Linked DNA regions of Danio rerio. The protein of the gene in region 1 purifies or fractionates together with the protein of each later gene. This does not show direct contact. Links are inferred from orthologs where the notes say so. Each region holds a gene or a part of one and is shown in the gene's direction. Other genes may lie near its edges.

Evidence for each region.
Region 2: the proteins of neurl4 (region 1) and cep97 purify together in Homo sapiens (affinity purification with western blotting; 4 studies listed by BioGRID and IntAct, with this or other methods). This does not show direct contact. The link is inferred for Danio rerio from reciprocal best matches to the Homo sapiens genes NEURL4 and CEP97.
Region 3: the proteins of neurl4 (region 1) and znrd2 purify together in Homo sapiens (co-immunoprecipitation; 4 studies listed by BioGRID and IntAct, with this or other methods). This does not show direct contact. The link is inferred for Danio rerio from reciprocal best matches to the Homo sapiens genes NEURL4 and ZNRD2.
Region 4: the proteins of neurl4 (region 1) and cep290 purify together in Homo sapiens (affinity purification with mass spectrometry; 3 studies listed by BioGRID and IntAct, with this or other methods). This does not show direct contact. The link is inferred for Danio rerio from reciprocal best matches to the Homo sapiens genes NEURL4 and CEP290.

Annotation. Positions count from the first base shown.
Region 1 is NC_133187.1:24,243,430-24,251,236, reverse strand, and holds the start of neurl4 (neuralized-like protein 4), read left to right. Parts: upstream 1-2,926; 5' UTR 2,927-2,953; coding exon 2,954-3,118; intron 3,119-7,807. UniProt on the Homo sapiens protein: Promotes CCP110 ubiquitination and proteasome-dependent degradation. By counteracting accumulation of CP110, maintains normal centriolar homeostasis and preventing formation of ectopic microtubular organizing centers.
Region 2 is NC_133176.1:198,702-206,737, forward strand, and holds the start of cep97 (centrosomal protein of 97 kDa), read left to right. Parts: upstream 1-3,680; 5' UTR 3,681-3,690; coding exon 3,691-3,748; intron 3,749-4,086; coding exon 4,087-4,235; intron 4,236-4,508; coding exon 4,509-4,667; intron 4,668-4,747; coding exon 4,748-4,849; intron 4,850-4,932; coding exon 4,933-5,046; intron 5,047-5,217; coding exon 5,218-5,381; intron 5,382-5,745; coding exon 5,746-5,904; intron 5,905-6,003; coding exon 6,004-6,116; coding exon of another isoform or gene 6,117-6,146; exon of another isoform or gene 6,147-6,169; intron 6,170-6,412; coding exon 6,413-6,851; intron 6,852-7,063; coding exon 7,064-7,139; intron 7,140-7,387; coding exon 7,388-7,675; 3' UTR 7,676-8,036. Other genes in the region: rpl24 (large ribosomal subunit protein eL24), read right to left, coding at 1,272-1,408, 1,795-1,905, 3,264-3,339, 3,465-3,469. UniProt on the Homo sapiens protein: Acts as a key negative regulator of ciliogenesis in collaboration with CCP110 by capping the mother centriole thereby preventing cilia formation. Required for recruitment of CCP110 to the centrosome.
Region 3 is NC_133185.1:31,773,494-31,781,252, forward strand, and holds the start of znrd2 (protein ZNRD2), read left to right. Parts: upstream 1-3,105; 5' UTR 3,106-3,174; coding exon 3,175-3,190; intron 3,191-4,838; coding exon 4,839-4,990; intron 4,991-7,248; coding exon 7,249-7,333; intron 7,334-7,405; coding exon 7,406-7,759. Other genes in the region: solute carrier family 35 member F4, read left to right, coding at 961-1,050, 1,168-1,412. UniProt on the Homo sapiens protein: Might play a role in mitosis. Antigenic molecule. Could be a centromere-associated protein. May induce anti-centromere antibodies.
Region 4 is NC_133200.1:18,914,767-18,922,090, reverse strand, and holds part of cep290 (centrosomal protein of 290 kDa), read left to right. Parts: intron 1-27; coding exon 28-183; intron 184-292; coding exon 293-416; intron 417-536; coding exon 537-1,421; intron 1,422-1,643; coding exon 1,644-1,778; intron 1,779-3,155; coding exon 3,156-3,242; intron 3,243-3,322; coding exon 3,323-3,487; intron 3,488-5,421; coding exon 5,422-5,544; intron 5,545-6,311; coding exon 6,312-6,484; intron 6,485-6,555; coding exon 6,556-6,697; intron 6,698-7,324. UniProt on the Homo sapiens protein: Involved in early and late steps in cilia formation. Its association with CCP110 is required for inhibition of primary cilia formation by CCP110.

The DNA of each region.
Region 1 (7,807 bases):
TTATGGATGTGAAATTGCCACTTGTGTGACTTCAGTAAATCCAATATAATAGTTTGACATTTTTGAGTATTTCTAAAGTACTATAAAATATTTGCTTCCACAAAAAACTTTCTGTATTTTGGTGAAGTTTAGTTTATTTTATTGCAAGATTGACATTTGCATGGAATTGCTCAGTTATAGCTTTAAACACACAACATTTTTGTACACCCTTTTTCACAGTTGGGCCTGAAAGATGGATCAACCGAATTTCCCAGTGAACCTGCAACACTTACTTTCACTATACTGAAAAATTCACTTGTGGTAAACAGCAAACCAAAGGTTAAATCGGAAACTCTGGACTTTCTCTCCATGTGGAAAAATGGGATGCTCCTGACATTTGGGGGAGTGCCAGGTAAAGTGAGCACGAATTTCCGTGATAAACTACTCCATCAGCAACATCCGCATTGGTCATTGTTAAATTCTTTATTTGTCAGCTTAGTGCAGGGAGTCTATTTAACAAATCCTACCTTTTTCAATTGAGTCCATGAACTCTCTCTTTTTTTTAGGTGACAGCGAGGTGGCAAAAAGTAATCCATACCTGCGTGGGTGTCTGGAGAAAATCGTTGTCCAGGGTCAGGTCATTGATCTTGATCGGGCAGCGTACAAACACACAGCGGTGTCGTCCCACAGCTGTCCTACAGAAGCAATGAATGAACTCACTTTGTAGAGATTTAACACAATCATCCCGACAGGCTCAACTCTTGATCAAATCAGGAAGGGCTATTTAAAACTGCTAAATTTTTAGTCAGTCATTATAACCTCCAAAATGTATTAATAAACAATATAAAAAGTATTAAATGTCAATTATGTTACACTGAGCATTAAAATATGTTTAAAAACGACAGAACATTAAACACTGTAATGAAAATTCTTCTGAAATGTGTTTGCAAACACATATAAAAGCAAATGTTTTTTTTAATGACCATATTTTAGAGAACAAAATAAATCAGCTGCAATCAAATGTGCAGGTTACGTGCATAAATATTATTTTCGATGCTACTCCTTTGTTTTGCAATGGAATGGGTCATCACTTTCACAGTTAACTTACATAATTTGATAGCAATTGTGCTTTTGTATTAAATGTATCCTACTCGCACATCTGACATTTCTGCAGCATTTTCAAAAGCACACAAAGTATCTTTTAATTATATTTAAATTAATTGCAATAACTTAGATTGTCTTTTTGTTCAGATACAACATGCCATATATAATACATGCAATAGCTAATCAAAATATACATTTATTCATATTTCTTGCTTTTAAATATATACCTTTATTGACTACAAAGAATTTCATTTTCATGTCATCATGGCAAAGATAAAATAAATCAGTTATAAGAGATGAGTTATTAAAACTATTATGTTTAGAAATGTGTTGAAAAAAATCTTTTCAATACAGCTTAAAGTGACATTTAAAGACTTAACTAGGTTAATTAGGTTAACTAGGCAGGTTAGGGTAATAGACTGTATTAAACTGTAGACTCAGAAAAGAAACTGCTTAAAGGGGCTAATAATTTTGACCTTAATTTTTTTTTAAATAAAAGCTGCTTCTGTTCTAGCTGAAATAAAACAAATTAGAAAAAAAAAATTATATTATTAAAATATTATTAGACATACTGTGAAAATTTCCATGCTCTGTTAAACATAATTTATGAAATATATATATATATATATATATATATATATATATATATATATAAATCAAAGGGGGGCTAATAATTTTGACTTCAACTATATAGGGGAAACCATAATATTTAAATGATTAGATTGTATAGATTTTTTTTCATTATTAGAGATGTTTTATAGCCTTCTTGTTTCTTGTAACTGAGGTCAAAAAATTATAAAATATTTTTAAATCTTAACAGAGCAAGAAGGGAATAATTGACATTACTACTTTTACTTTGTTACTTTGTGTATGTGAAACTTTCACATACCCCATATGTCAAATTTTTTTTTGAAAATGTCCACAGATTCTGTCTGGCCCTAGTTATAAGTCAGAAATTTTTTCATTAAGTAAAGCAGTTTATTAGAGACGTATTAATTAGAATTAATATAGAGAAATATTAATTAGAATTAATATTTATTGAAGAGGAAAGAATTTAGTAAACCTGAAACAAATATAATTCCCCTGTTAATTGACAACATACTGTGGATGCATTCATCAGTTTAGGTCAGTTTAGCTGTAAAATACTGCCATCTAGAGAATATTTCACACAAAGGTAGTACAGTTCACAATTTTAAAACACTGGCAGCTTTTTAAAAATAAATATCAGACATTTTTATATAAATGTACACTCTACAATTATTTCTGCACATTTTATGAAGGTGAATTTAAAACATTAAGTACGAATAATTTTACACTATACAAATACAAGTACTTATAGATCTTAATGACTTAATTTTACCAAAATGATAACAAACAAATATTTGCTAATGGACACAATCTATTTAAACAGAAAGTCATTTTCACATTTAGTTGTTGTGGCAGTGCATATAAATGTAACACTTTCTTATCTTATTTAAGTCCTTTTAAATGTTCTATAATTTCATGAAGATCGAATTAAGGCCTTTAAGTTCAGATATTTTGTAATTGAAGCTGAGATCTCGTGTGAGTGTTGTTCAATACATAATGAGCATGTGTGCATATATTTACATATTACCTACAGCACATTCATCCAGTTTCGACCCTTGCCCGTTAGCAGCATTTCATTTACAACTGCATATAAGAATTGTCTTTACTGATACCTCTGAGCATGTACACATTTATCAAGTTGAGGCTGATATATTAAGTCTGGTTATGTCTATGATACATACCACTAGCAATATACCCATAGCCAATCGCGAACTACCTACAACCGTCTCCCCACTGTCGCAAAACTACGCTCGGTGTCGTGCACCGCGCCGCCCGTGCGAAGATGGCGGCTGAGCTGCATCCGCGCAGCGGAAAACTGATCGGTTTGTCGAACTCCAACCGAACCGCTCAACGGAATCAGCCGGTACAGGAATTCAATCACGGCCTGGTCCTCAGTCGGGAGCCGCTGAGGGACCGCGATGTCTTCACTGTCCGCATCGACAAGAAGGTAAACAAGCATGTCCCACCAGAGAGAGGGAGGGAGAGAGGGAGAAATGGAGAAAAGGGTGGGAGTCTGTCAGATCGTCTGCAGTGGTTCATTACTGAGGCACGAGGCTCTGACAGAGCTCATTCAGAGGTCATGCGGGGTGTTTAGGTGTGTGGATGATTCGTGATGTGCGTGTGCTGCGGGTTTGCGGTGATCTGTCATGGTTTGTCAGTGGCAGAGCTGTTGATGTTTGGATGCTCTCCTGCCTTGCTATTACTGGACTGTCATGGGGTTAACAAGACGAATCTGCTCTGTTCACAGCTGTCTAGTTATGCACAGCGTATTTGGGGAAATATTAGCCTGTATGTTCGCTCGGAAGGTCATGTAAACACGGTTTGGTACAGTCCGGTGAATCGATTCTCTTGAATTCGGTAATCGATTGGTCCTGTGACCCCTTCTGCAGGTTACATCCCGTGACTGTCTTTTAGTGTTATGATGAGTCACTGAGGTATTTATTCAAATGAATAGTTTAGATATATAGAACTGACCAAATCAAATCGAGAATGTTTAATGAGAACAAGTGGAACTGGGAACGTTGTTTCAGGCCTCTTAAGAAGCGGACAACGCTGAATTGCATGTATTACTGTAGCAGAGGGTTGTTGAATGCCTGATTCTGATTGGTTGATAAGTGTTCTAAGGTGTGTAGTTATTAAAAACAACAACATATAACTGAAGTAGTTCCAAGCAGGTATTGAGTGCATTGCAGTTCCACATGCTATACTGTAAAAATGCTGGGTTTCACATAATTCCTTCATGAACAAAAAAATTGATTAAGTTAGCGTAATCGTTTTTAGAAATTTAAGTGGCTTGAACGTAAAACAATTAGGTTGTTCCAAAAACATAAGAATTCTGTTGTTTCAACTCATTTTAAATAAGCTAGCTTGAACAAGCTTGCAAAAGTAATATTTTTGATTGTATGGTGTTCTTGAATGCTACATTCAGATTTGTTAATGGATGTCCGGACCTAGGTGTGCTGTTATTTTTGAAGAAACGGTTTAAAATATTTACAATAAATCCTGATTTCATTACAGTTTCATATCACTGCACTAAACATTTTAGGTAATTCTAAAGATTTGTTACAGTTTAATAACAGTTTAATTTTGTTTTTGATAAACAATATTATATGGAATTGCAATAAAATTTATGTCAATAATAACAATGATATGCTCTGGACTTTCTTTACTTTATATTGATCTAAGAGACAATCACACAGCAGAAATGTGCAACAATAGGAATCTTAAAGTGTGTTGATATTAGAGATGTACCAAATTTTCACCTACCGAAAATTTATCAGCCAAAAATATGTTATGGCATTTATTTGACACTAATCTTTGTAGCCTCAGTCATTGTTGGGGTACTGTTTTAAATCTGGAAGCATTAGATTAGATTAGATTCATTAACTACTGATATTGAAATATATATTGTTATCGATCAATATGGAAAATAATTATCAAGATTGTGAGCATCACAGTTGTGCTGTGGGTAGCACAATCGCCTTACAGAAAGAAGGTCGCTGGTTAGAGCCCCGGCTGGGTCAGTTGGCATTTCTGTGTGGAATTTGTATGTTCTCCCTGTATTCATGTGGGTTTCCCCCACATTCCTAAGATATGCGGTACAGGTGAATTGTGTAAGCTAAATTGTCTGGAGTGTATGAGTGTGAATGTAAGAGTGCATGGCTGTTTCCTATTGTTAGGTTGTTGCTGGAAGTGTATCTGCTGTGTAAAACATATGCTGGATAAGTTGGCGGTTCATTCCGCTGTATCGACCCCAGATTAATAAAGGGACTAAGCCGTAAAGAAAATGAATAAATTATTGAGACTGCATTTTTGCCATATCTCCCAGCCCTAGTTTGATTACAACGGGCAAAAAAACTATATACACTAACAAAGTTAATATGCTGAACAGTCGTTTTAAAAGTTGATTGTTGTCGTTTTTGCAACAAAATGTAATTTTTTTTTAACTAGCTACTCTCTTTTTCCTTACCTCTCAATTCAATTCAACAATTGCTTTATTGGCATGACAAATGTTACAAATGTATTGCCAAAGCAGTTATAAAGTTTACATAAAAATAAAAGAACATGCATGTCTAATAAAAACACTAAACAGTAGTAGTAGTACTAAAAAAAGTATATATATATATATATATATATATATATATATATATATATATATATATATATATATATATATATATATATATATATATATATATATATATATATATAATAATCAAATTAAAACAATGTAATATATCATATTATTCAATATATCATATTATTGTTCAGTATATCACATTATTATTCAATACATCATATAATTTATATTTATAACAATAAAAATAGTAATTGATCAGAACAAACTGTACATTTAACAATTAAAATTTTAGGATAACACAGTAATAACAGCAAAAATAATCAGTATATTTACAATGATATATTTATATCCCCACCCCCCCCCCCCCCCAACCCCCCCCCCCCCCCCACCCGAATTATTATAACATAATTCACACCAAATTTCTCCCTACCATAACTATATTAATAACTGTATTAATATTAGTAACTGCATTAGCCTGCTAGCAGTTACTTAAATGTCCCTTACTAGATCTAAAATGACATTTTTGGATTACCAACAGAGGCTTGGATGATACTCATTTAAACTAGTCCTTCATGAGCAGTTTTAGGACAAAAAACTGTCAAATGTGTTGAAGTAATTCTGTAGGTGTGGTAACTGTAGAAGCTTAATAATTGACTCTGGCCTGTTTAATTATTAGGAAAGTAATTCATGCTTGAGGTGTAACAGCATCTCAACCCTGGTTGTGCATAATTGTCTAATAACTCAGTGGACTGTCATCATTCTTTTTCACACATTATTCTTTATAAATCACTTCATCAAAGGATTTAAGTTTTTTTCAAAGGTCATTACAGCCTGCAACAGCAAACCAAGCATATATATACTAGTATATATATTAATCAATAGACTATTTCAACGTGGTGATGTCATTGGCCCATGAACATTTCCTGCTTGTTATCAAACTACTTCATAACTGTAACAAGAGGCAATTAAATTAAAACTTAATGTTAAAACAGCTCTCATAACATTATTTATCAATATGCGGCTCTTTTTGAATTTTCTGAAGCTATAGAAATTAAAAATGTAATACGGGAAATACGTTGGGACTGTTGTTTTTGTTTACATCTCAAAATTTTTATTAGTATAATAATGACAGATTATTTCTGGTTTTGTCACAAAATTACATTTAATTATCAATGAAAAACTCTTTCTATTGCTCTCCACACAAACGCACGTATACAGTAGGGACACAGACTCATAAAAATAGTTTTTTACTGCTGCTCTGTTGAATCGATGTGAAATACTGTAAAGTGCTGCTTTTGAAGCAGACACTCCAGACTCCTTTAAAAGGCACATACAGTATATGGCAATTTACATGAATCTTTCTCGCTCTTTCTCTAATAACTGCATTAGTCTGCTATCAGTGGCTCAAGCCTCATATTCCAGCTCTAAAATGGCATTTTTGAAATTGCCAGTGCAGGAATTGGGACGAGATGCATACGCAATTAGTCCTGCAAATGTGCATTTTAAGATAAAACCTAACAGCTGTCTTGAAACGCAACCTCTGAACAATCTGAACAAATTTCTTGCAATTTGTTTTAGTATTATTAGTGGATTAACTGACTTTAATGGCTTGAATTACTGGAGAATAATGCACACTCATTGTTTATTAGTATTTCCTACTTGCAGTTTATGTTTATCTGTTATTAGAAGTATAGATAAGTACCTTTCCATCTTACTCACTCACATTCCTTCTACTTATTCCACTTTATTAGGGGTTGCCACAGTGAAATGAACCGCCTCCATGTTTTTTATAAAACATCACCTTTTTATTTCTTAGTTTTATTAGAAGAAAGCCTAGAGACTTAATAATAGGTATTTATGCAAGAATTCGGTTTATGAACATGATCTTCCAGTTTTCTTGTGATATTAGCTGCTTATGCTTTTAATAAACACTTGTTTTTAAATTAGCTTGAAGTGTTTTTAACTAATGTTGTAGAACAAAACATGAAAGCAAATGTCTGTAGTATACACATATTCTTTCATAATATAGTGGTTGTTAGCTTTACATCAACATTACAGCCAGCAGATTATCTCGGAGTCTGAACTGTAATACACCCTCAAAAATAAAGTTATAAAGCTGTCACTGATGGTACCAGGGCTTCACGATATTGGAAAAATCTGACATATTGTGATTTCGATGCTCAAATGATATATTGTGTAGCCCTAGATGATACCTTTTCAAATATTACATTTTTGTACTTAAATGCTTCATCCAAGAACCTTCAGGGTACATATTAGTACCTAAAACCGGCTGCACGATATTGGAAAAATTTAACATTGCAATATTTTTTTCTCTGTAGTATATATTGCAATATAAATACAATTTCACCAGAAGACTTAAACAAATCTATTTGCAAAGTTACTTTAAATTGATTGATAGGGGAGTGAAATATAATATTGTATATAATTTAATAAGATTAACAGACTACAGTAAATAAGCAAATGTTAAATTAATATAAATGGTTTTTGTGGGAGAGAAACAGTATTTAGCTACAGAAATTGTATAATCAAATGTAA
Region 2 (8,036 bases), on another chromosome or scaffold:
GACTGAGGATTCTGCAGTCCTGCAGATCAGTAACCCGTGTAAACGCGTGTTTGGAGTTGGGCTGCTCGTTTATGGGAAAAATCATAATCCCGATTATTTTGGTCATAATTATAATCACGACTATTCAAAACGATTATCAGTTGAAGTCAAAATTATTCATCCTCCTGTGAATTTATTTTTATATATAAATATTTACCAAATTATGTTTAACAGAGGGGGTTTTTAACAGTATTTTCTATAATATTTTTTCTTCTGGAGAAAGGCTTATTTGTTTTGTTTCAGCTACAATAAAAGCAGGTTTGAATATTTTGAAACCTATTTTAATAGCTTGATATTATTAGCCCCTTTAAGCAATATATTTGTTTAATGGTCTGCAGAAGAAAATACTGTTACACAATGACTGGTCTATTTACCCTAATTAAGCCTTTGAATGTCACTTTAAGCTGAATACGAGTATCTTAAAAAACATCTAGTAAAATAGCCTATAATGTGCTGTCATCAGAGCAAAGATAAAACAAATCAGTTATTAGAAATGAGTTCTTAAATCTGTTGTGTGTAAACCGCGCTTTAAGCATCTCCACTGTATTTTTTATTTTATTATTGATTATTAATAAAAACAGTCGGCAGCAGCAGGAATATTGCGCGGTCACTTTAAGAATAGTGCGGCTCTGATACGGTTTCTCTTTCTCGTGTCTTTTGATTCTCAACTTGTTAGTTTATTACACAGATGAGGGTTAATATGAATAATCACTAAACACCGCGCTCTGACACAAGTGTGCATGTGTTTCACCATTAAAGCGCTCGCATTAAGATCGCATTAGATGTGTGTGCTCTGCTGTCCGAGGCTAAGCGCGGCACGTACGCAAACACACACACGCTAGCTATCTGAGGTTAAGCACAGCGCACACACAATAGCACGTACCCTTTTGCGCTTTTAAAAATGTGAATGATGCGCATCCCGTGCTGCACAAGTTACAGTACAGCACATCTTTCAGTCATTTTCACATGGAACTGAGCTTTGCAGAGGCAAAGAGTTTTCACACTTGTACAACTGGAAAGGGTGCGGTACGTGATGGAATAATCGTTTATCTCGATTCACGGCTTTTCATAATCGTTACAAGCCAAAATCAAAATCAGATTTTCGATTAATTGCACAGCCTTAGTTTGGAGATTTCCATGGTGACAGGAGCACCACTACAACTAGCATCAAGCATGACCACTGAATGAAGAGAGAGTGTGTGTGTGTGTGTGTGTGTGTGTGTGTGTCTCACCTGATGGCCTGCTCGCGCTGGGCTTTACGCACTTCAGGCTTCTGGTTCCTCTTGGCCAGAATCTCGGCCAGAGAAGCGCCGGTGATCGCCCGCTGGAACTTTACTGCACGACGTGTGCGCTTCTTCGACACCTCCTCCTGAAGAGCACAACACACACACACACACACAGGTCAGTGTACTTCATTAGAGCAGTGGGGTCTGCTCCATATCTCCAGCACATGACGTCTGCAGCCCTCAGCCTCCTCACAGGAGTACACGTCGCCCTTCACTCGCAGTAAAACACTCTCTGCATGATTCAGTGGAGACGAGAACAGCAGCGGTTGATCATGCTGATATCTGCTATGCTGGCTTCATGTTCTCCTCAGCTGCAGTATATCTCCATAAATCTATGATGTAATGTAAATGTACACAGGAGGAAACACACTCTTCTCCACTCCTGGACTACACTACCCATAATGCACTCTGTCTGAGACTATACACCCCCCGTGCACATGTGCCCGGTGAATAATGTTAATGAACTCACAGACTGGCCCTTCTTGTGCTTGCGGCGGTACAGAACGGTCCAGTTGATCTGCCTCGGGTTCCTCTTGGACAGAAACGCAGACTCACATTTGGCATTGAGGAACTGGAAAACCTGCAGTAGAAGAGCATCTCCATCAGAACACAGCAACATAATCAATAATCAATAATCACACATGGACCCCAGTGACCTGTGCTGAAGCGCTCCATGCTAAACGGCCCTCTGCAGACACGTACAGCTCAGCTATTAAAATCGCGAAAGAGCATGTGCTGTTGTGTGTGTGCACAGCGCTTAGCCTCGGACAGGTAGTGTGTGTGTGTGTGTGTGGGTGTGTTTGTGTAGCCTCGGACAGGAGAGCACACACGCACATCTAACGTCATCTTAACGAGAGCGCTTTAATGGTCAAACACATGCACATTTGTGTCAGAGCGCAGTGTTTAGTGATTATTCATATTAACCCTCATTTGTGTAATAATCAAAACATGTGAGAGAAACCATATCAGAGCCGCACTGATCTTAAAGTGACAGCGTTTCTTTTCTCTTTGACAGACACATAATTATTTTACTTGACATTTTTCAGGACACTAGTATTCAGCTTAAAGTGACATTCAAAGGCTTCACTCGGGTAAACAGGCAACTCATTGTATAACAGGAGGACAATCAAATATATATATATATATTGCCTAAGGGGGATAATAATATTGAGCTTTTAAAAAAGGTTTAAAAATATTCAAACCTGATTTTATCCTAGCCAAAATAAAACAAATAAGCCTTTCCAGGAGAAATATTATAGAAAATCCTGTCAAAATTCCTCCGTTAAACATAATTTGGTAAATATTTATATATAATAAATTAACAGAAGTGCGAATAATTTTGAACTGAAAATCGTTTTGAATAGTCGTGATTATAATTATGACCAAAATAATCATGATTATGATTTTTCCCATAATCGATCAGCCCTAACACACAATCTACAGCGCTCAGCCAAAACACTGGAGGAGTTCCTGAACACATCAGCCAGAGCATGCGGGATTCAGCACTTCACCATCAGCAGCAGGAGGAGGAAGAGGAGGAGATGCTCTTATATTAATAACAACGCGTACCACTAATTCTCTTACACACACACAGATATGTAGACATACATTTGTGTGTGTGTGTGTGTGTGTGTGTGTACACACACAGCTGATCGGCAACAGTCTTCAGCAAACCCGAACCCTAATATAACTCTAGAACAGTAAAGTAACCCATCATGCTGAACTCATAATGACGCTAAATTAGCCAGAGTAACCCAGTGTCTGTGTTAGCATTAGCAGCGGGGCTCGCCATTACTAACCCATCGCTAACTGTAGTTAGCCAACAGTATCGAACTACCCTGATGAATACGAATATTCACATAATAATAATGACAATATTAATAATAATAATGAGGATGATATTAGTGAGCTGCTGGTGTCGGAGTAACTCGGCTTTACCTTTCCGTCAATCCTGGCGTATCGCCGGCCGTGACCGGGATAGATTTTGTATCCGCTAAAACTGCACAGCTCGACCCTGCAGAGCACAAATGAGCGTCATTACAGACACGCCGCGAACATTAATAACTCATAAACACTTTAATCGGCGCATCTGTGAGGTTATATTGCAGATGTTTGGGGATGAACACAGAATACACTCACTTCATGGCGGCGGTTCAGACGGGGAAGAGGAAGAGGAATTGTGGGTAAGCGGTTTATAAAGGAGCCCGTTTCGTTAAAGTAAAATATTTTTTTGAAGTAAACATATATTTGACATAGGAATGAACCCTACTATTCTGTAAAAATATCCAAAAATATAAATATTTTCAGATTAAATCATCCAATGAAATCTGCGCTCGGTTGCCTGGCGGTGACACAAGCGGGAAGTATGGCGGCGACCGGAGCGGGGATGGCGGATCCGGTGCTGCAGATGCCGAATCACAGAGGTACGGCAATATCAGCCAATAATATTGCAATAATCCACGAGTTTGACTAAGCGGAGACTTTAAACCGCAGTGTTTTTCTGCAGACCGGCGATGTGTGCGGATTACCGAGTTTAACGGGGCGTGTGGGGTTCCGCCGTGTGTGTGTGTTTGTGTGTTTGTGTGTGTAAACTCCGTCATTCACTGATCACTGATCCGCTGCTCTCCACACACCTGCGGGAAAGCGTTTATTGGCTTGGTGTGTGTGTGTGTGTGTTACTGATGTGTGATCGATGATCTTCCTGATCGCTGTAGTGATCAATACTCCACAGCCGTGTTTATTCTGCGCTGTTCTCTTTCAGGTCCGGGGGTTTTAGACCTGTCGGCTCGGGGTCTGCAGCGGCTGGAGCCTCAGCTGTTCCGCCCGGATTCACACACACACACCCTGATCCTGGATCAGAACCAGCTGATGAAGCTGGAGCACCTGGAGCACAACCCCGACCTGCAGCAGGTGTGTGTGTGTGTGTGTGTGTGTGTGTGTGTGTGTGTGTGTTTGATGAACTATAGCAGCGTCTGATGGAGAAGATGAAGATAGAATGTGAGGATTCAGCAAACACGACACACTCTTAGTGCACTCAGTAGTGCTCCACCACACACTCACTTCACTCACTCCTCTAAGTGCACTACTGTAGTGAGTAAGGGTACAGGGGGTGATGTGATTTTGAAAACAGTGTGTGTGTTCAGCTGTGCTCGCAGTGATGTACGTGTGTGTGTGTGTGTTCAGCTGTCGGTGGCCTGTAACCGTCTGGTGCGCATGATGAACGTCTGCAGACTCACGCAGCTGCGGGTCCTGGACCTGCAGAATAACAGCATCGGCTGCATCGAGGGCCTGAAGGAGCTGCAGCAGCTGGAGCGCCTCAACCTGGCCGGGAACAACATCAAGGTGAGTGTGTGTCTGCAGCGGAGTTCACCTGAGCATACGGTCACACACACACACACACTCCTGCTCTGCTGTTTGTGCAGGTGATGGAGCAGCTACACCACTGCGTCTCCCTGCAGCACCTCGACCTGTCTGATAATAATATCTCGCAGATCGGAGACGTGTCCAGGCTCTCGGCGCTGCAGGTGAGTCCGCCGCCGCTCTGAATGATGATGATGATGAGGATGATGATGAGTGTACAGTAATATCCTGCTCACACACACTGCAGACGCTGCTCCTGCACGGAAACATCATCACCACACTGCGCTCGGCTCCTGCTCACCTGCCGGCACACCTGAGAGTGCTGTCGCTGGCGGAGAACGAGATCCGGGACCTGACTGAGGTACACACACACACACACACACAAACACACACACACATTCAGGCTCACACTGCCTCCTCCTGTGCGGTTCTGCATGTGAGTGTAGGCAGATGTCTGACCTGACCTCGCTGCACAGCTGAGGATGCAGATCTGTCCTGATGTGTGTGTGTGTGTGTGTGTGTGTGTGTGCAGGTCTGCTATCTGGCTCCGGTGCGGGGTCTGCAGCAGCTCTCCCTCCTCAGTAACCCGTGTGTGTCGTGTGTGTCCTCCGCTGTGTGTGATTATCGGCCATATGTGCTCAGCTGGTGCCTCGGCCTGGAGCTGCTAGATGGAGTCGCCGTCACACAGAAGGAAGGGTGAGTGGAGCTCGAGGAGGAGGAGGAAGAGTGCTCATTATTCAGTGTTCATGCTGTGATGACGTGCTGCAGTTTCTGATCTGTGCGTGTGCGTGCATGTGTGTGCATGTGTGTGCGTGTGTGTGTGCGTGTGCGCGTGTGTGTGTGTGTGTGTGCGTGCATGTGTGTGCGTGTGCGCGTGTGTGTGTGTGTGTTTGTGTGTGTGTGTGTGTGTGCGTGCATGTGTGTGCGCGCGTGTGTGCGTGCTTGCGTGTGTGTATGTGTGTGCGTGCGTGTGTGTGCGCGCGCGTGTGTGTGCGCGCGTGCGTGTGTGTGCGCGCATGTGTGTGTGCGTGTGTGTGTGTGTGTGTGTGTGTGTGTGCAGGCTGAAGGCGGAGTGGCTGTACAGTCAGGGCAGAGGGCGAGTGTTTCGTCCGGGCGAGCACACTCAGCTGCTGCAGTATCTGTCCCGCACGTGTCCCGCCGCCGCCCGGCAGCCCCCAGCAGAGGACGCCAAACTGGAGAAGATCCTCAACAAACAACGGTAGAGTCCAGACCAGCAGCACCGGCACCGCTCATAGCAGCACCGCTCACTGTGTGTGTGTGTGTGTGTGTGTGTGTGTGTGTGTGTGTGTGTGTGCAGGCATCATCAGAATCAGCTGCAGCATACACATCACCAGACTCCCTCTCGCCCCACACACCTGGACGTGCAGCAGCTCCACCAGAGCACACCTGATGAAGATGAGGAGGATGAAGGTGATGATGTAATCGCTCAGGCTGCTGTGTGTAAGATGCGGGTTTCTGTGCTGGTGTGTTTCCTATTCCCAGTGGTAAAGCACAGTACAGATGAGTGCGTGTGTGTGTGTGTGTGTGTGTTCTGCTGATGTTTGTGTGTGTGTGTGTGTGTGTGTGTGTGTGTGTGTGTGTTCTGCTGATGTTTGTGTGTGTGTGTGTGTGTGTGTGTGTGTTCTGCTGATGTTTGTGTGTGTGTGTGTGTGTGTGTGTGTGTGTGTGTGTGTGTGTGTGTGTGTGTGTGTGTGTGTGTGGTGCAGATGTGGAGCCTGCAGTTCGGGTGAACGCGTGGATGGACTCTGTGTCTCCACCCTTGGCCGCTCCTCCCCCCTCCGCTCCTCCCCCCGCTGTGGCTGCAGACGGGCTGCTCCTGCAGGATCTGGAGGCCCCGGGGCCGCTGGCGTCTGAATCTGCCGCTCCTCCGGCTTCAGCTCCTGACAGCGGAGAGGAGGAGTTTGAGGACTCTCTGGCTCCTCCCACATCCACTCAGCACCGTGCCCCAGGGGAGGAGCCAGTGTGTGGGGGCGTGTCCTCAGAGCATCAGCAGTGTGAGCCGCAGGACGCCGCCGTGAGGATCCAGAGCTGGTGGAGGGGCCAGTGGACTCGCCAGCGCCACCCGCAGGCCAGAGCGGTGCGTGCAGAGATACGCATGCGGAGGATGCAGGACCACATCATACACCTGAGCACACAGCTGGACAGGTGAACTGTTTGTGTGTGTGTGTGTGTGTGTGTGTGTGTGTGTGTGTGTGTGTGTGTGTGTGTGTGTGTGTACTTGTGAGGTAAAGTGGAATGAAGAGCGCTAGAGGTCAGAGGTCGGCTCATCTCTGCTCCGAGAATTGAAGATGACTCTAGTTGAGATCAAGCACAGCGTGAACTGAAGAGTGTGTGTGTGTGTGACTGCTTTGTTTCAGGGTCCGCCGGCAGCAAGAAGAAGAGCGACTGCAGAGACGTGTTCAAGAAGAAGCAGTGAAGGTTCTGTGGAAACAGGTCAGTGAAAAACACACACATAAACACACACAGACACACACACACACACACTCACACACACATAAACACACACAGACACACACACACACACACACACTCACACACACACACACACACACATAAACACACACAGACACACACACACACACACACACACTCACACACACACACACACACACACATAAACACACACACACACACACACACTCACATAAACACACACACACGCTGAACATCTGCTTCTCCAGCTGCAGGTGTTGTTGCAGTGGCAGGCGTCTGTGGACCAGCGGCTTAACACAACACACACTCCTGCGCTCAACAAGACACACACTCCTGCCGACAGCGCAGCACACACTCCTGCAGACAGTAGCACTGACACACACACACACGCTGATCTCTCGGTGCCGGAGTGCGGTTCTCCGTGTGTGAACAGCAGCGCCGCCTCTGGAGACGCGCAGAACTGCAGTCTGCTGGAGCAGTACCTGAGCTCCGTCCAGCAGCAGGACGAGGAGGAGCGCGCCGCACACGACCTCTGACCTCTGACCTGACCGCACCGAGGCATTATGGGATGTTGAAGGTCTCTGCCCTCGTCAGCAGTCGTGTATGATTAAACATCAGTTTTCTGCCAGTTCTCTTCAGTGCTGCTGACGGAGGCTCCCTAAGAAGTGCTGATGCTGTCTGAGTGCACTTACTGGTGCACATCTCTCCTTCACAGCCTGCAGCTGTAGATGAAGACGCCGCCGTGGAGTAATGTCAATGTGTTGGTCATCTGCTGCAGTTCAACCCCGCAGAGAGTTTAGCAGGCTTCAGTGTGTGTGTGTGTGTGTGTGTGTGTGTGTGTGTGTGTGAGCGCGCTCGGCATGTGCTGCAGCAGTCTTCAGTTGAGTGTTTTGTATG
Region 3 (7,759 bases), on another chromosome or scaffold:
ATATAATATAAGTTTTATTATTGCATAGAGATACAATCGACAACAGAAATTTTTACAGCAAATTGTCAAAATGTAATTCTCTAATCAGGGAAAGAAACCTAAAAACAATTATTACATTCCACATGATAATAACAGAGCTATATGTCCCTTTACATGATTTTCCAGTTACACAAAAACTATGTACAAAAGTAAGGGGAAGCAGACGTAATATTCATAAACAGGCAAGGAATAGGCAAGGTTTTATATAGCCGAAAATTATTGGGTTGAATAGAAGTTATACTCAATCCATTCAGACAAATAGCCACAAATATATATTTTTGATCATTCATGTAATTGTGTCCGTAATAAATAAACTATTAACAATGGTTAAACTTGTCTTTTAAAAATAAATAACAATAAAAAAATAAAAAGTATGTACAACTAGAGTTTTCTTGTTTTGACAAATTCAAATAAGCAACAACAACCAGACCATTACAAAAAAAAACTTTAGTGTTTAGCCCTGTATAAGTCTAAAAATTTCATTCAAAACGGTCTTAAAAGGGTCTTAAAAAGTCTTAAATTTGACTTGTTGAAACCTGCAGAAAGCCTGTATTAACCTTAAATGTTTTTTAAGAAATTAAAAACTGTTTTTATTATAGCCGAAATAACAAAAGTCTTTCTCCAGTAGAAAAAAAATGTTCAAGGAAATATTGTAAAAACTGTAAAAGTTCTTGCTCTGTTAAATATAATTTGGGAAATGTTTGAAGAAGAAAAAATTCACTGGAGGGTGAATAATTTTGACTTTAACTATACATTTATGTGCAGTTTTTGATTGGCACTGAGTGTTAAACAATAGTATACAATAAAATCATTTACCTCTATATAACTCTATGCTTTATTAATGTTATTTGTCATCATTTGTAGTGATCAGATTTTTAGTTGTTCTCTTTAACAAACTTTGTCTTTATGTTTTTATTTAAGTTTTCAATCTGCTGGTAAATCTGGGAGAAATGTTTACGTACCCCAGTTTAATTTCCCTGGGAATTCTCTTGACAATCCCAGCAAGTGCAGGTATTTTTCATGGAAATAAATTGACAAGTAAACATTTTAATTATCTTGCTAAACACAAAGAGAACATCATTTATTGTCTGATAATTGAATATAGCGCTTTCTTCTCTTTCTCATAAGCTGTGGATGGCTTAGTGACGTTAACTCTGCAGATCAGCCATGTGCGAGCAGCGGCCGCCGGCATCATCTCAGCTGGATATCTGATGCTGCAGCTTCCAGAAAACTGGGATGAGAGCACTTTCCGCTGGCTCAGCGCACTGTGGCGTGGAAACTGGCGAGAGGACAGTATTGTTGGAGAGGAATCTATGGTGGACACTGCTGGGACTTTACGAACAAAAGCCAAACCAGCCGTAGTGACTCTCTAGCTGAGCCTTAAAAATGCAGGATTTTTTTGGCTTCATTAAATCCTTGAAGAAAACAAAGACTTTTCAATGTTCTTTGGATTTTAACCTGTCCTTCTAAGATATGAATGGTTTATTTAGGAACTGTTCCTAGTATGTTTTTAATGGTTTTACCATATTTGAATACTTTGTTGAAACCTACATGAGTGCTGGTGACTTATAAAATATTTTTAAATATTTTTTTTTTATAAAATCTGTAGGAATGAAGTTTTAATATTATCCAATTTCTGAGTACTGGGTTGTGGCTGGAAGGGCATCTGCTGCGTAAAACACACTGGAATAGTTGACAGTTCATTCCGCTGTGGCGACCCCTGATAAATACAGGGATTAAGCCGAAGGAAAGTGAATGAAGGAACATTATCAGTTTTGAAGTCTCCAACCTTAATCCCTCTAGTGCTGTTCAAATTTGCATGAACGTTTGTGCTAATACCTTTGAAACTGTAAGAACTAATAAAAATGTAATTATTGTCTCCTCTAATTTCTTGGCTTCAAAGCATAGTTCACCTAAAAATGAGAAGTCTGTCATCATTTACTCTCCCTTCACTTGTTTAAACCTGTTTAATATGAGAAATTGCAATGATTTGTGTAGTAAGACACTATGGAATTTGCTTGCTGTGGAAGTCAATGGCTACGGGTTTTTAGTTTTCTTCAAAATTACTTATTTTGTTGTCAAGAAACTCAGAAAGGTTTATAACCACTTGAGGATAAGTAAATACTAAATAGTGAGGACAATTAGATTTTTGCAACGAATTAAGAAAAGTTATCATTCGTCATATGTTTTCAGTCATTTTGTATTTTTCCATTAATAAACCCTCTTCTGTGGGCTCATAAGGTAGTGAAGTGTCCATCATGTGCGAACTTCTTAGTATTCTCATCTGTCAACTGGTTTGGGTGTAATACTATAGCACACATACCGTTTTTCACATACGGTAATATAGCTGACAAAGCTAATGCTATTTGTCCACAACTGTTGTGTGTTAACCATAACCAGTGATGATTTGCACAGTTTGAGCCCTGATGAAAATCCCAAACTTTACTTTTTCTCACCATAAGACTGTGTGAACTACACATTTCCAAACCATGCTGGCAACACCAACACCTGAGGCTGTATCTTTGCAAGACTGACAACGCCACACTACACTAGTTTGGTAACAGCATCACCTATTGGTCAAAGTAAACTATGAAATCAAAGTGATTTTCTTTATTCACATTAACTATGTATTAATTAGGCTAATATTAACCTGATGCAGTGATGGTAATGTTTAAAAATAAATTATAGAGTTGTGCAGAAGGAGTGATTTTATTGTTTAGGAGCCTTTTGAATTTTTTTCAAAATCCACTTTCATTATAAAATGTTATTTTCTGCATTGTTAAGACCCCAGATGTCTAGGGCTAGAGAGAGGCGTAACTGCATATTATCAGTTAAACAAATCAAGCAGGTAGTTAGAATATTTAGTTGACTGGAAACCAAGAGATAGTGAAGAACATTCTTTATTTTCCAGCATAAACTATGTATTTTTTTATGTGTCTAAATCCAGATTTTTTTTTCCGAACGAAACAAATAATCCTGAGATTTTCAGAATGAAGGGGAAAAAACTGAGCAATAGGACCTACATTCAGCTCGCTAGATGGCGCCAGTCAGTTTTCATAGCACCTTCCACATTTCACCGCTGAAGTTTCGAGCAGGAAACGTTATCTGTGTTGTGAGGCGGCTGATGAAGAAAGCATGGCCCTTAACGCAGGTAAAATGTCAATAAACTCACATTTAGACAAATCTCTTGTTAAACTCCCCAATTTAGTACCGAAATAACCCTTAATCACTAACCTCCAGTCGTGCTATAGTAACGTTAGTACACGTGCAGCTGCGCTAAAATAACATCATGTTACGTTAGCAGGTTAGCCCCTCACTGTCTGCATTTCTGTACTGGCATGTGGCTTTTATTTCATTTAAAATATCGAGCTTTCTCTGTGTCTTTGCCTATTATTGACTCGTAAAGTTCCACGTACAGGAATCGCACGGGTGCTGAAAATACTTTAAATGCTGGAATTTTACTCTTGTGTTTCAAGGTTTAAAATGTACTTAGATTATGGATAAAGTACTTTAAAATGCGATTGTTCCTTTCATAATAATTTATCTTACTAAGCTGGTAATAATAGTATGAATAAATTAATTATAATAAAGATATGTAAATGGATGACAGCATAACTAAATGTTGGGGTTGGATCAAACCTGCTATCACATATTTTCCTTTTATTAAAGCTAAAAAAATAAAATTAAAAACGAAATTTTTCACATAGTATATTAATTATACTATAATTTACTGTACTATACTCTAGAATAGCTTCTGATATAATGTGATGAAGTGTTTTTTTTTTTTTTTTGCATATAGCACAAATTTAATTAACAACTACAGAACAGAGCACAAATAATAATCAAATCAATAAGATTATAATATAAATAAATACAACTTTAAACAGAATAGACACACAAACACATTCAAAAAAGAACTACCTGGTCGTCTATTAATTAAAATGTTTTCAATAAACTGAACTTCCTAATTTTGATTTTACCAACTTTAAAGCTTTACAGTATAACCAAAATTCCTTTTGGAAAACCCAAAACAGTGGTTTTGTTTTCAGGCACTTGCATTTATGAACATAAAATTTCTCCAAAATTAGAATATTGTTCAATACAACTTGAATATTAATATCTTCCCCTAATAAACCAAAGATAATATCATTTTTAGAAAATTGGGAGGACATCTTGAGAGAAACTTTTAACCACTCAAATGAATTTGTCTAGAAGGTTCTGCTGTATAAACAGTCAAAAATAAATATACAGTCTCTGCAGATGGTTAAATATCATTGAATATTTTAAAGTGTACTTCTTTAGCTTTGAGGAGGTATGGGGAAGGAAAGGAACATATTCCCTAATTCGATAATAGAGCTTATTATCTGAATACACTCTGAATAAAATCTTCTCCATTCATCAGCAAATAAGGTACGTCATTTTTATTGGGGGCCACAGTACTAACCATTATTACAAATGCCTTCAGAATAGATTTCAATACCCTATTGAATTGCTTATGATCACATTCAAAGTTATATTTTTCACAAAAATTTCCAGTAACTCAGAACCTCACCCTCTTTGTTTAATAGATGGACACTCAACCAAATACCTCTCTCCCACCAATCTTTATAGAAAGGATTTTTTTCTAAATATAATTAATGTGATGAGGTGTGCAGACGTATGTAAATATGTAATTTTCCACACTTTATAAAGTACTGAAAAAGTTTTAAAACACCTGGAAAGTGCTTAAGTGGGTGTGTGAATTAAATGAGCATTCGTCCATAAACAAGAGCATTCTGTGTGTGTTTTCCTGAATCCAGATGATGAAGACTTTGAATGGGAGCCTCCCTCTGAAGCAGAGATGAAGGTGATTCAGGCTCGCCGGGAGCGGCAGGATAAGATCAGCAAGCTGATGGGAGACTATCTGCTGAAGGGGTACAAGATGCTGGGCGAGTGCTGTGAGCTGTGCGGGGTGAGAGAAAACACCATACACTCATAGGAGACTCCAATCAAATCTGTGTTTTATTTAGTGCAATACAAGCTAGAGCCTTAATTTAATTATTAAATATGCAGTGAGGTACTGTGTTGTTAAGTTGTAGCCATGTTTGAATATTAAAACTTGCGATAATGACAAAAGATGACGTGCAATATTTTCAGTTCAGAATGTCTGAAAGTTTAATAATGTTTTTAATTAGTTTAGTTTATTTATTTACAAAGCGTAATAAAAAAAAAATTTTTAAGTTGTTGACCATTGTGCTGTACAAACCTAAAAGCAAATGATCAAAAATAGACAGCAACAAGTAAAACAACATAGAATACATCCAACATACCACACAGCATCATAGATACATAACAAGCGACCAGATAGGTACAATAGGATTAATTTTCTCCCAATTTAAAAGCTATTTCAAGGAGGTGTAGTTTAAGTTTCCCTCTGAACAAAGATTCAATAGAAACTTTTCTAATGGACGAAGGTAGCCTGTTCCACACTTTAGGACTTACTACAGAGAAAGCTCAATCTTCTTTTTTTATTCAATTTGGATCTGGGAACTACTAGCATTTTCTGGTTCGATGACCTTAAACATATGGCAGATATTTGAACTAATAAGATTAGAGAGATAAGTCAGAGCCTGGCCTTTTAATACCTTAAAAACAGACATTAAAATTTTAAACTCAATTCTAGGTCACAATTTAGGAAACACGGGATAGGAGTAATGTGTTCAAACCTGCGTGTACCAGTAAGAAGCCTTTTAAAAAGCCTTTCACTTTGGCTGATAATCTCAGCTGAAAAAAACCAAGATTTAACTACTGCATCTACCTGTGTGTCAAATAAGAGGACAGAATCTAGGATAAAACTTTGATTTCTTAAAGATGGTTTAATGCAGTCTGCAAAATTGATTCATTTGATTCAGCTTTCCCGAGCCAGCAGTTGGGATGCATTTTAACTTGATCAAAATTGAGAGCTTTGAGACTTTTATAAAGTTTACAGTTGCAAATAAACACTGTACTCTGTTTATTCATCATGAAGCTATAAAATACAATGTGTTTCATGGATGTCCGAAAATAACTGAACAAAAAAATGAAAATAACTGAACGAAAATAACCTGTTTTTAATAATCCCGTCACATTTCCACTTTGTTTCTTTTTAAAGGCACTGAATAAATGCATGTTCGCCTCTTTTGAATGATGAATCAACATTTTACAAACCTGCCTCAATATTGCTGGGCGATATGGTAAAAATACAATATCAATTAATTATTTTCCACATTAAACAATAATGATATACATGTGTATATATATATATTTTGATTTCAGTTGTTATTGCTTCTGGATTTAAGAGTATCCCAACAATGACTAAAGCCCCAAAAATAAGAGGGTACATTAAATAGCATAACCTGGACGTAAATTTGGTGCATCCCTAATATCAACACAATGGCTAATCAGCACTGCTTAAAAACACGCTCAACTGTTAACGGGAAGTGTGCGTTTTCAGTATCAATTGGTACCTGATTGGCTCTTAGATTATATAGAGTAAAAAAGTAAAAGTAAAAAAAGTCATTGTTATTGACAAAAATGTTATCGCCATACGATATAATATCGTTTATGCCTTAACATTATAATGTTTACCTTGTTTTAAGACTGAAGTCTTAATGGCCCACATCTAGTATTTTTGCATTTATCTGCAGTGCCTTTCTGTAATTCAGCTGTTTTGCTTTTGTATTTTTACAAGGTCTCGTCTGACAACAATTTTTTTTTGAGTATCCAACATCTATAAATCAATCAATTTTAGAAAAAAAGACATTTAAATGAAAAATTACAATGATTTTCATGTTTAATCAGTAAAAAATACTGTTACTTTTAGTTAAAACTATGCAGTAAGGCAATATCTAATGGTACACAAACAACAAAAATAGTATTAAATATTGAATATTTACGGAATATTGAGTAGAGGCGGGGCTCTCTTTTTGCACAACATTTTTTCATAGGAAACTAACAGTAAGGGGGGGCGTGGCTAAAAATATTGTGACTGAAGCTGTCAAACTGACATCAACAGAGCCGGACCGCCACTCCAAAAGCAGATGCAGACTACCAAAGCAAAAATCATTAGCATGGATTCATTGTTCACCTAAAGAATAACAAAATAATCATTGTACATTTTTTCTCACAGACTTTAATTGTTATTACTTATTACAGTGTTTAAAGCAAAACAAAACTTCCATCTATTTGCAGACGATTCTGCTGCAAGATAAGCAGAAGAAAAATTACTGTGTTGCTTGTCAAGAGCTGGACTCCGATGTTGACAAGGACAACCCAGGTACATTCAAATCCTCTTCCTTAAACATAAATTCTTGCTCATCACCATTAAATTATCCAACTTCTCTTTCAGCTTTAAATGCTCAAGCAGCCTTGTCACAGGTACGAGAGCGCCAGCTTGCCACTCAGCCTGTTCCCGAATCTAACGGAGCCTCCTCCAGTGAACCCCCTCTCTCCATCACTGGCCAGCCCAGGCCGGAGCACTGTGAGGGGGCTGCGTCTGGACTCAGAGGCCCCCCTCCAACTGTACAGCCAACCCCTCTTTCCATCCCCACCCCTGCCTCCAACTTCTTGCCGCCATCCAACCCGCCTGTCCAGACGACACCTCCTGTAGGGTCTTCGGGCAGCTCACTCCATCACCACCCAGCCCTGTCCAGTGCAGAAGAGGCTGTGCTTCACAAGCTCAGATGGGCCACGCAGGAGCTCC
Region 4 (7,324 bases), on another chromosome or scaffold:
TGTTATTGTTGACCGATGTTTATGAAGGTTGGAGCAGGAGAAGGTGAGTCTGCAGAAGAAACTAAAGGGTAGAGGAGTGACCGCTGACCAGGTTGTTGGCGCACGAACTCTTGAGGCTGACAAAGAGATTGAAGAGCTTCACAAAAGGAATGCTGAACTGGAGCAGCAAATCAAAGTGATGAAGTGAGTTTTGCCTAGCAATCATTCCATTCTTCCCATTTGTGTCTAAGTTCAAATACATCAAATTTGTCAGCGTTATTCTGAGTAATGTTTAAAATTGATGGTTTTATAGGCAGCAGCAGGCTTTACCCCGTGATGCTGCGATGGAGGATATCACCATCAGAAACCGTTATCTTGAGGAGAGACTTTACTCAATGGAGAGTCGGCTATCTAAAGAGCCTCCATCCAGACCCTCTGTAGGTGCAACTTTTCAAATATTGTGCCATCATGAATTTCATCTCATTAACTTCACTTTCAGACTTCCTTTCATATCTGTTTCTTTCTCCATTCCTTCTGTTTTAACTCTGATAATAAAGGACAGACATTCAACATCACCATCTCAGCTTAGTTGGTCCTCAAAAGTTCGTTCTATGACTTTTGATGTAATCGAAGCTGAACAAACTCAGTCCTCATTATTAAATAGCACAGTTGTTGTAACTGAAAAGGAAATATCTGTTATAGAGGACAAACCAACTCAAACTTCCTTCAGAAGTATAGATATGGGCACAGCAGAAGTGAACCAAGATGATGAAAATGTAGCAAAGAATGAAGTGGATCTGGAACAAAAAGCTCTGATGAAGGATGACAAAACTGAGCAGAAAGAAAACAATAAAGAAAAAGGATCTGTTGAGAAAGACGAAGAGCAACCAGATGACACTCAAAGAGGGCAAGATGTAGCAGTTTTTGAATATGCTCAGGAAGAACTGAAGACTAATGATGAGGCAGAACAGCTTGAGTCAGAACTGACACATCGAGAGATGATGGAAAAACCTTTGGATGAAGATCAGCTGGAAGTTGAAAATGAAGAGACAAATGCAGAAGAAATGTTATACAGCACTATGAATCAAGCAGAGCTAGAGACACCAAAGGTTCTTCTTGAGGGTGATGAAGATTATGGGCAAGAGCCTGAAGAACTTTTGAAATGTGAATGTGATCCATCTGCCGAATCTAAAGAGCTTGACGAAGAAGAAACAGCTCTCAGCAATTCAACCACATTTGATGCCAAACTTGTCTCTGAACAACCAGCAATGGAGAAAAACAAGTCGTTTACTCCTGAAGCAGGTTTTAACCCTAATTTAAGTGAAGTTTCCCCTAGTAGAGAATTGAATGCAAACACTGAAAATGACATTCTTGGACATTTAAAAGCAAAGGTCACCAGGCTTAATGACAAAGAACATTCAATGAAAAGCAAAGCTCGAAAGGTACTTGAAGCATAGGTGTTCCCTCAGAGCTTCCAGCTTTCTCCACCCCATAACAGTGTTGGTTTTGAGTTTGTGTTGTTGTATTTAAAGACCTGCAGTGTCTGCTTTGCTGTTGTCCTTTAGTGCTTGCATTGCTCCCTCTCCTGTCTGCATCTAAAATATCTTTGTGGTTTGGGTATCGTTTAGCTGTGTGTTGTCAATAACTCTTTGTTGTTTCTACAGACATCTGGTCGAGGTTCTGATACCCCATCCCAAAGAGAGCATGAGTTCCAAAAGGAGAATCTCAGGTTGTCTACAGAAAACCTGGAGCTTCGTTTCCAACTGGAGCAAGCAAACAAAGACCTGCCTCGATTAAAAGTACTGTGAAATCTCTGTTATTAATAGCATGACTCTACTAACATGGACGGGGTATTTAGATGTTTACAAAGACTTTATAGATATGTTATAGAGATGCTGCTAAAAGATGATACACTGCAATTTAGATTGCATAATTACTGTAATAAAATTTAAGTTTTAAAGGTGCCATTGCATAGATTGATTCTCTGTTATCTACAAAACATGTATGTTGCTTAACTAAATTTAGAAATTCTTGAGAAACAATGTAAATGCTCATTTTATTAACCACAGAATTTAGCCCCTTAATGAAAAAGCATGATATTGACCATGTATAGAATGGTTGTTAATATTAATGAGCTCTGCTCTGACACATACACACACAGCATGATGTATTCTGAAATACACACGTGCAAAATAATCATACTTCATTAGTCAATAAAATATTTTTACAAATTGAGTAAATGCCTTGTTAACAATCTATTCAACTGAAGTGGTAGAGAGGTTTGGTGTAGCTGGATGGATGGAGTGATCTGTCTTTATGTCAACAGAAAGCATAATTTGCTCCTGAGTTGTATTTTGGATGACAAAAGAGATTTTGAAGCTTTTTTGTATTTTAAAGCTTTAACGTATTTGAAAACATAAACAGGAGTTAGTTTCAACCTCTGCATGAACAGATCTATTCACACAAGAAAATTACATTAAGAGCTGAGTGATCGCACAATGCATAAACTTGCATTAATCACTCAGCAGTTTAAAAATGTTTGTTGCTTCATTACAAACAAACACAGAAAACTATAAATATACACATTAAACTAGCAAAATATACTTTAAATAGACCTTATTGCTCTTTGAAGTTTCACTGAATACATTTATAATCCGTATATCCTGCATTTTGCTATCTGACGAGCTGTGAGCACTTATACATGGTCTTACATGGCTGACTACTTCACAAAACTGCTCCTTTTTAGTCTCCCCACCTCTAAACGTATGCACTAAACTTAAAAAATAAGGAAATTTATAATTGTTTTAATCTCACTAGGAAACATGGCCATTCAAATGCAGCTTGGGACCATGTAATACGAATATTTTAATGATTAATGATTTTAGACTTTTGAGATCTACATGAGAATGAGGACTCAATTGGGTTCGGGGCTCTGAATACATAATTTTCATATACTGTTGTCTTAATATTCAGCTATGCCTAGGTATTTCGAGATTTTCATTCTGTGACACTTTATTCCCACACTACTCTGAATGACTATACCCATCCCCCACCCCCCTCCTTTTTTTTAATTACTGTAAAAATGTATTTTAATTAAACCTGCATTGTTTAACCTAAATGGTTAATCTACATTACATAATCTATTGTTTTTACCTTCCCACCCATTATAATGGCAGGATCAGGTGTCTGACCTCAAAGAGATGTGCAGTGTTTTGAAGAAGGAGAAAGCTGAAGTGGAGAAGAGACTCAGTCATCTTCGTGGGGTCGGTACAGTAGCAGAACTTCTGAGATCTGGAAACTGTTTAATTTTCAACTCCCATTAATGTATGCTCCTCTCATACAGTCCGGCCGCAGTGGGAAAACCATACCTGAGCTAGAGAAGACCATTGGACTGATGAAGAAGGTTGTGGAGAAAGTTCAGAGAGAGAATGAGAACTTAAAAAAGACATCTGAGGTCAACGTGCAGGAGCAACTTGCCACGCTGGAACGAGACCATGAGAAACTTAAGGTATATTTTGTGAACCTGTTAATATTGTGTGACATTTAAAAATCAGATATTATTAAAAATTAAAGACAGTATGTACAGTGTGGCAAAAAAGTATTTAGTCAGCCACCAATTGTGCAAGTTCTCCCACTTAAAAAAAACGAGTGGGGCCTGTAATTTTAATAATTAGTATACCTCATCTTTGAGAGACAAAATAAGAAAGAAAATCAAAAAAAATTACATTGTAGGATTTCTTTATGAATGAATTATTAAGTTCATCTGTTAAATAAGTATTTGGTCACCTACAAACAAGCAAGATTTCTGCCTCTCACAGACCTGTAACTTCTTCAAGAGGCTCCTCTGTCCTCCATTCGTTACCTGCATTAATTATCAGTATAAAAAACACTTGTCCACAACCTGTCACACTCCAAACTTCACCAGAAAGACATCATAAACAAAATTGTAGACCTGCACCAGACTGAATCTACAAAAGGTAAGGAGCTTGGTGTGAAGAAATGAACTGTGGGAGCACTTATTAGAAATCGAAAGACATAAAAGACCACTGATAATCTCCCTCAATCTGGGGCTCCATGCAAGATCTCAGCTCATGCCGTCAAAATGATCACAAGGACCTAGTGAATGACCTGCAGAGAGCTGGGACCAAAGTAACAAAGGCTACCATCAGTAACACACTGCGCCGCCAGGGACTCAAATCCTGCTTAAGCCAGTACATGACAAGGCTGTCTGAACTTTGCTAGAGAGCATTTGGATGAACCACAAGAGGATTTGGAGAATGGCTTATGTATGTATGTATGTATGGTCAGATGAAACCAAAATAACTTTTTGGTAAAAACTCAACTTGTTTGGAGGAGAAAGAATGCTGAGTTGTATCCAAAGAACACCATACCTACTGTGAAGCATGTGGGTGGAAACATGCCTTGGTGTTGTTTTTCTGCAAAGAGACCAGGATGACTGATCCGAGTGAAAGAAAGAATAAATGGGTCCACACACCGTGAGATTTTTAGTTAGAACCTCTTCCATGAGCAAGGATATTGACGATGAAACATGGCTGGGTCTTTCAGCATAACAGCGATTCTAAACATCAACCGGACAATGAAGGAGTGGCTTTGTAAGAAGGTCCGGGAGTGGCCCAGCTTGTCTTCAGATCTCCAGATCTAATAAGCTCTTAAAAAATCTTACATTTTGCAAAATCTTAGATTTTCTGGATTATTTTTTTCTCATTTTGTCTCCCATAGTTGAGGTATATGCATGATGAAAATTACAGGCCTCTTACCTTTTAAGAGGTAGAATGTGGACAATTGGTGGCTGACTAAATACTTTTTTCCCCACTGCACATTTACCAGACACTTTTATGCAAAGTGACCAACAAATAAGGATAAAAGGAGAACTTCAAATAAGCTAAAAAAGCAATATATAAATGCTTTAAAATCAAAATCCAGTCCTTTTAAGACCTTGTTATAAGAAAATGTCTGGTGCATATGGAGAGGAAGAGTGTCTCCTACAAGTGGTTTGTCAAACCCAATCACCTGTGTAATACACATTCAGAACTGCATAATATTTCTCCATGTTTGTTATTCTTATGACCGTTTGTTTTGATTAATATGCCATGTCAATCTATTCAGAAAGAAGTTAGTTTTTACTATAGGCTGTTTTCTAAAATGTCAAGGACTGGAACAAGTCAGAAAAAAAACACCTATCTATATGTGGGAAGCTAGTTAGCCTCCCAAAAAGTCATGTAACACAGAGAAATCAGCCAGCAACATTTACAGCCAAGCACCTTAAATTGTGAACTGTTAAATTGTTAAATTATGTTGCATATCAGTGAAGCTGTTCAGTTGTTATGTTTTTGTTACCGCCATGGGCCTCATCTCTCAATTTTGTCAATTTTATTTATCTTCTGTACTAATATGCAGCTCTTTTCTCTTTTTTTGCTACAGTCAGAATATGAAAAGCTAAAAGGAAAACAAGAGGAACAGCTGAACTCAAGACTCGAGTCAAAAACTAAGGGCATTGAGAAAATCATGATGGAAAATGAACGCTTACGAAAAGAAATTAAAAAGGTTTTTTATTTTTTCCTCAAATAAGTAAATTTTTTAGATATGATCTCAATATCTAAGGTTGTGTTTACACAAAAACAGTGTTACAAAAAAATGGCAAACTTTTCCTTATGGTTTTTTTTAACATTTCATTCAAAACAACAGCATTTATTCAAACTGGTCTGCAATAAAAAAGCTGTAATATGAATGCACAGCCAGAACAATATTTTAAAAATGATTATGTTTGTACTGATCAAGAAAATAATGCTGTAATATGGATGCAAGCTAGTAGATGGTGCATATAAGGTCATGAAGTAGAGTAGAGAATAGTAGAGAATAGAATAGACATATAATACACATTTTTGTCATTTTCATTGAGACAATAATGGTTAAGTTGTCACGAACTTGCACTTTAAAATATAACCTGTTTTCAAGGCCCACAAAACAACCAAAGTACAAAAAAAAAAACATTTTCAAATTTTTGTTGAAAAAATTTACATAATTTTTGTGTATACATCCCTAAAAGATACTTTTTTGGCATACATCCCTAAAAGATACTTTTTTGGCAATGTCTTCATTGAGATGTAATAAAAGTGTGAAAATACAATACAACACAATTGTATTGACATCTTAGGATTGAAATCTTTTTTATAAAAAAAAAAAAGAAAGAAGGGGGTAAAGGGCACAAGTTGTTTTAATTAGTAACAGCTTATGATAACATATCTATGAAAACATATATAATATACATATAATAACAGAAATAAAGATACATGTTTTGTGGCAAATTGCAGGAAGCAGAAGCTGCAGAAAAGCTGAGGGTTGCAAAAGCCAGCCTTGAAGTAGCCAATGAGAAGCTAAAGGCGGAGCTTGAGGAGACTCATCAGAGGCTGTTATTAGCACAGTCGAAGGGGGCGACTTTACTGGGGGTGGACAGCAAGACCTGGAAATCTTCAGTTGTGACCAGGTAGAACATTTACTTGAATGCTTCATCAATTTTATCATCATGTAAGTTAATGATTCGTTTTTCCTCAACAGGTTATTCGAAAACAAGATGAAAGGTCTTGAAAGTGACATCGCTAAGAAGAACATTAGCATATCAGAACTAAAGGTGCAGCTAAAAGAGGCAAATGAGAAGCTGCAGGCCACACAGCACACCGTCATCCAGCTGAAGGAACAGGTGAGATGCTGATGTCCTAGTAAAATGACCAAATTCAATGTATATGACTGTACAGTAAGGGTTCCAATGCACAACATGACTAGATTTCACAGAAAATTCAGCAACAGCAAAGACTGTTTCTGGACTGAGCCAATAGAAAGTCTACTGAAGGACAAGCAAACAAAGTTTGGTAACACTATAGTTACAATAAGTAACAATTTACATCATTTACTACCGGCTTATTGCTTACCTATTAGGAACTGTTTATTAGTACTAATGAAGTATGATCTTATTTTACGTCTCTAATCCTACCAATACCTAAACCCAACTACCTTTACTATTAATAAGCAGCTAATTAGTAATTATTGAGCTAAAAGTCTTAGTTATTGATTTGTTAATAGTGCAAATTGTACACTAAAGTGTGACCCGAAATTGCAATGATGATTATGAGAGGAATGTGATGCAATTGTGCATATTACGCTCAGTGGATATCACGATTACGTTGGATTAGTGGAAGAATGTCAGATGGTCCAGTTTAGTTTTTACATCGTGTAAACTGCCATTTAAATTTGTGATATTTACCTTGAAACGTAATGGCACCAGGGTGCGTTTTGGGATGACAACAAGCCAATGGAGAGAACAAGTCTG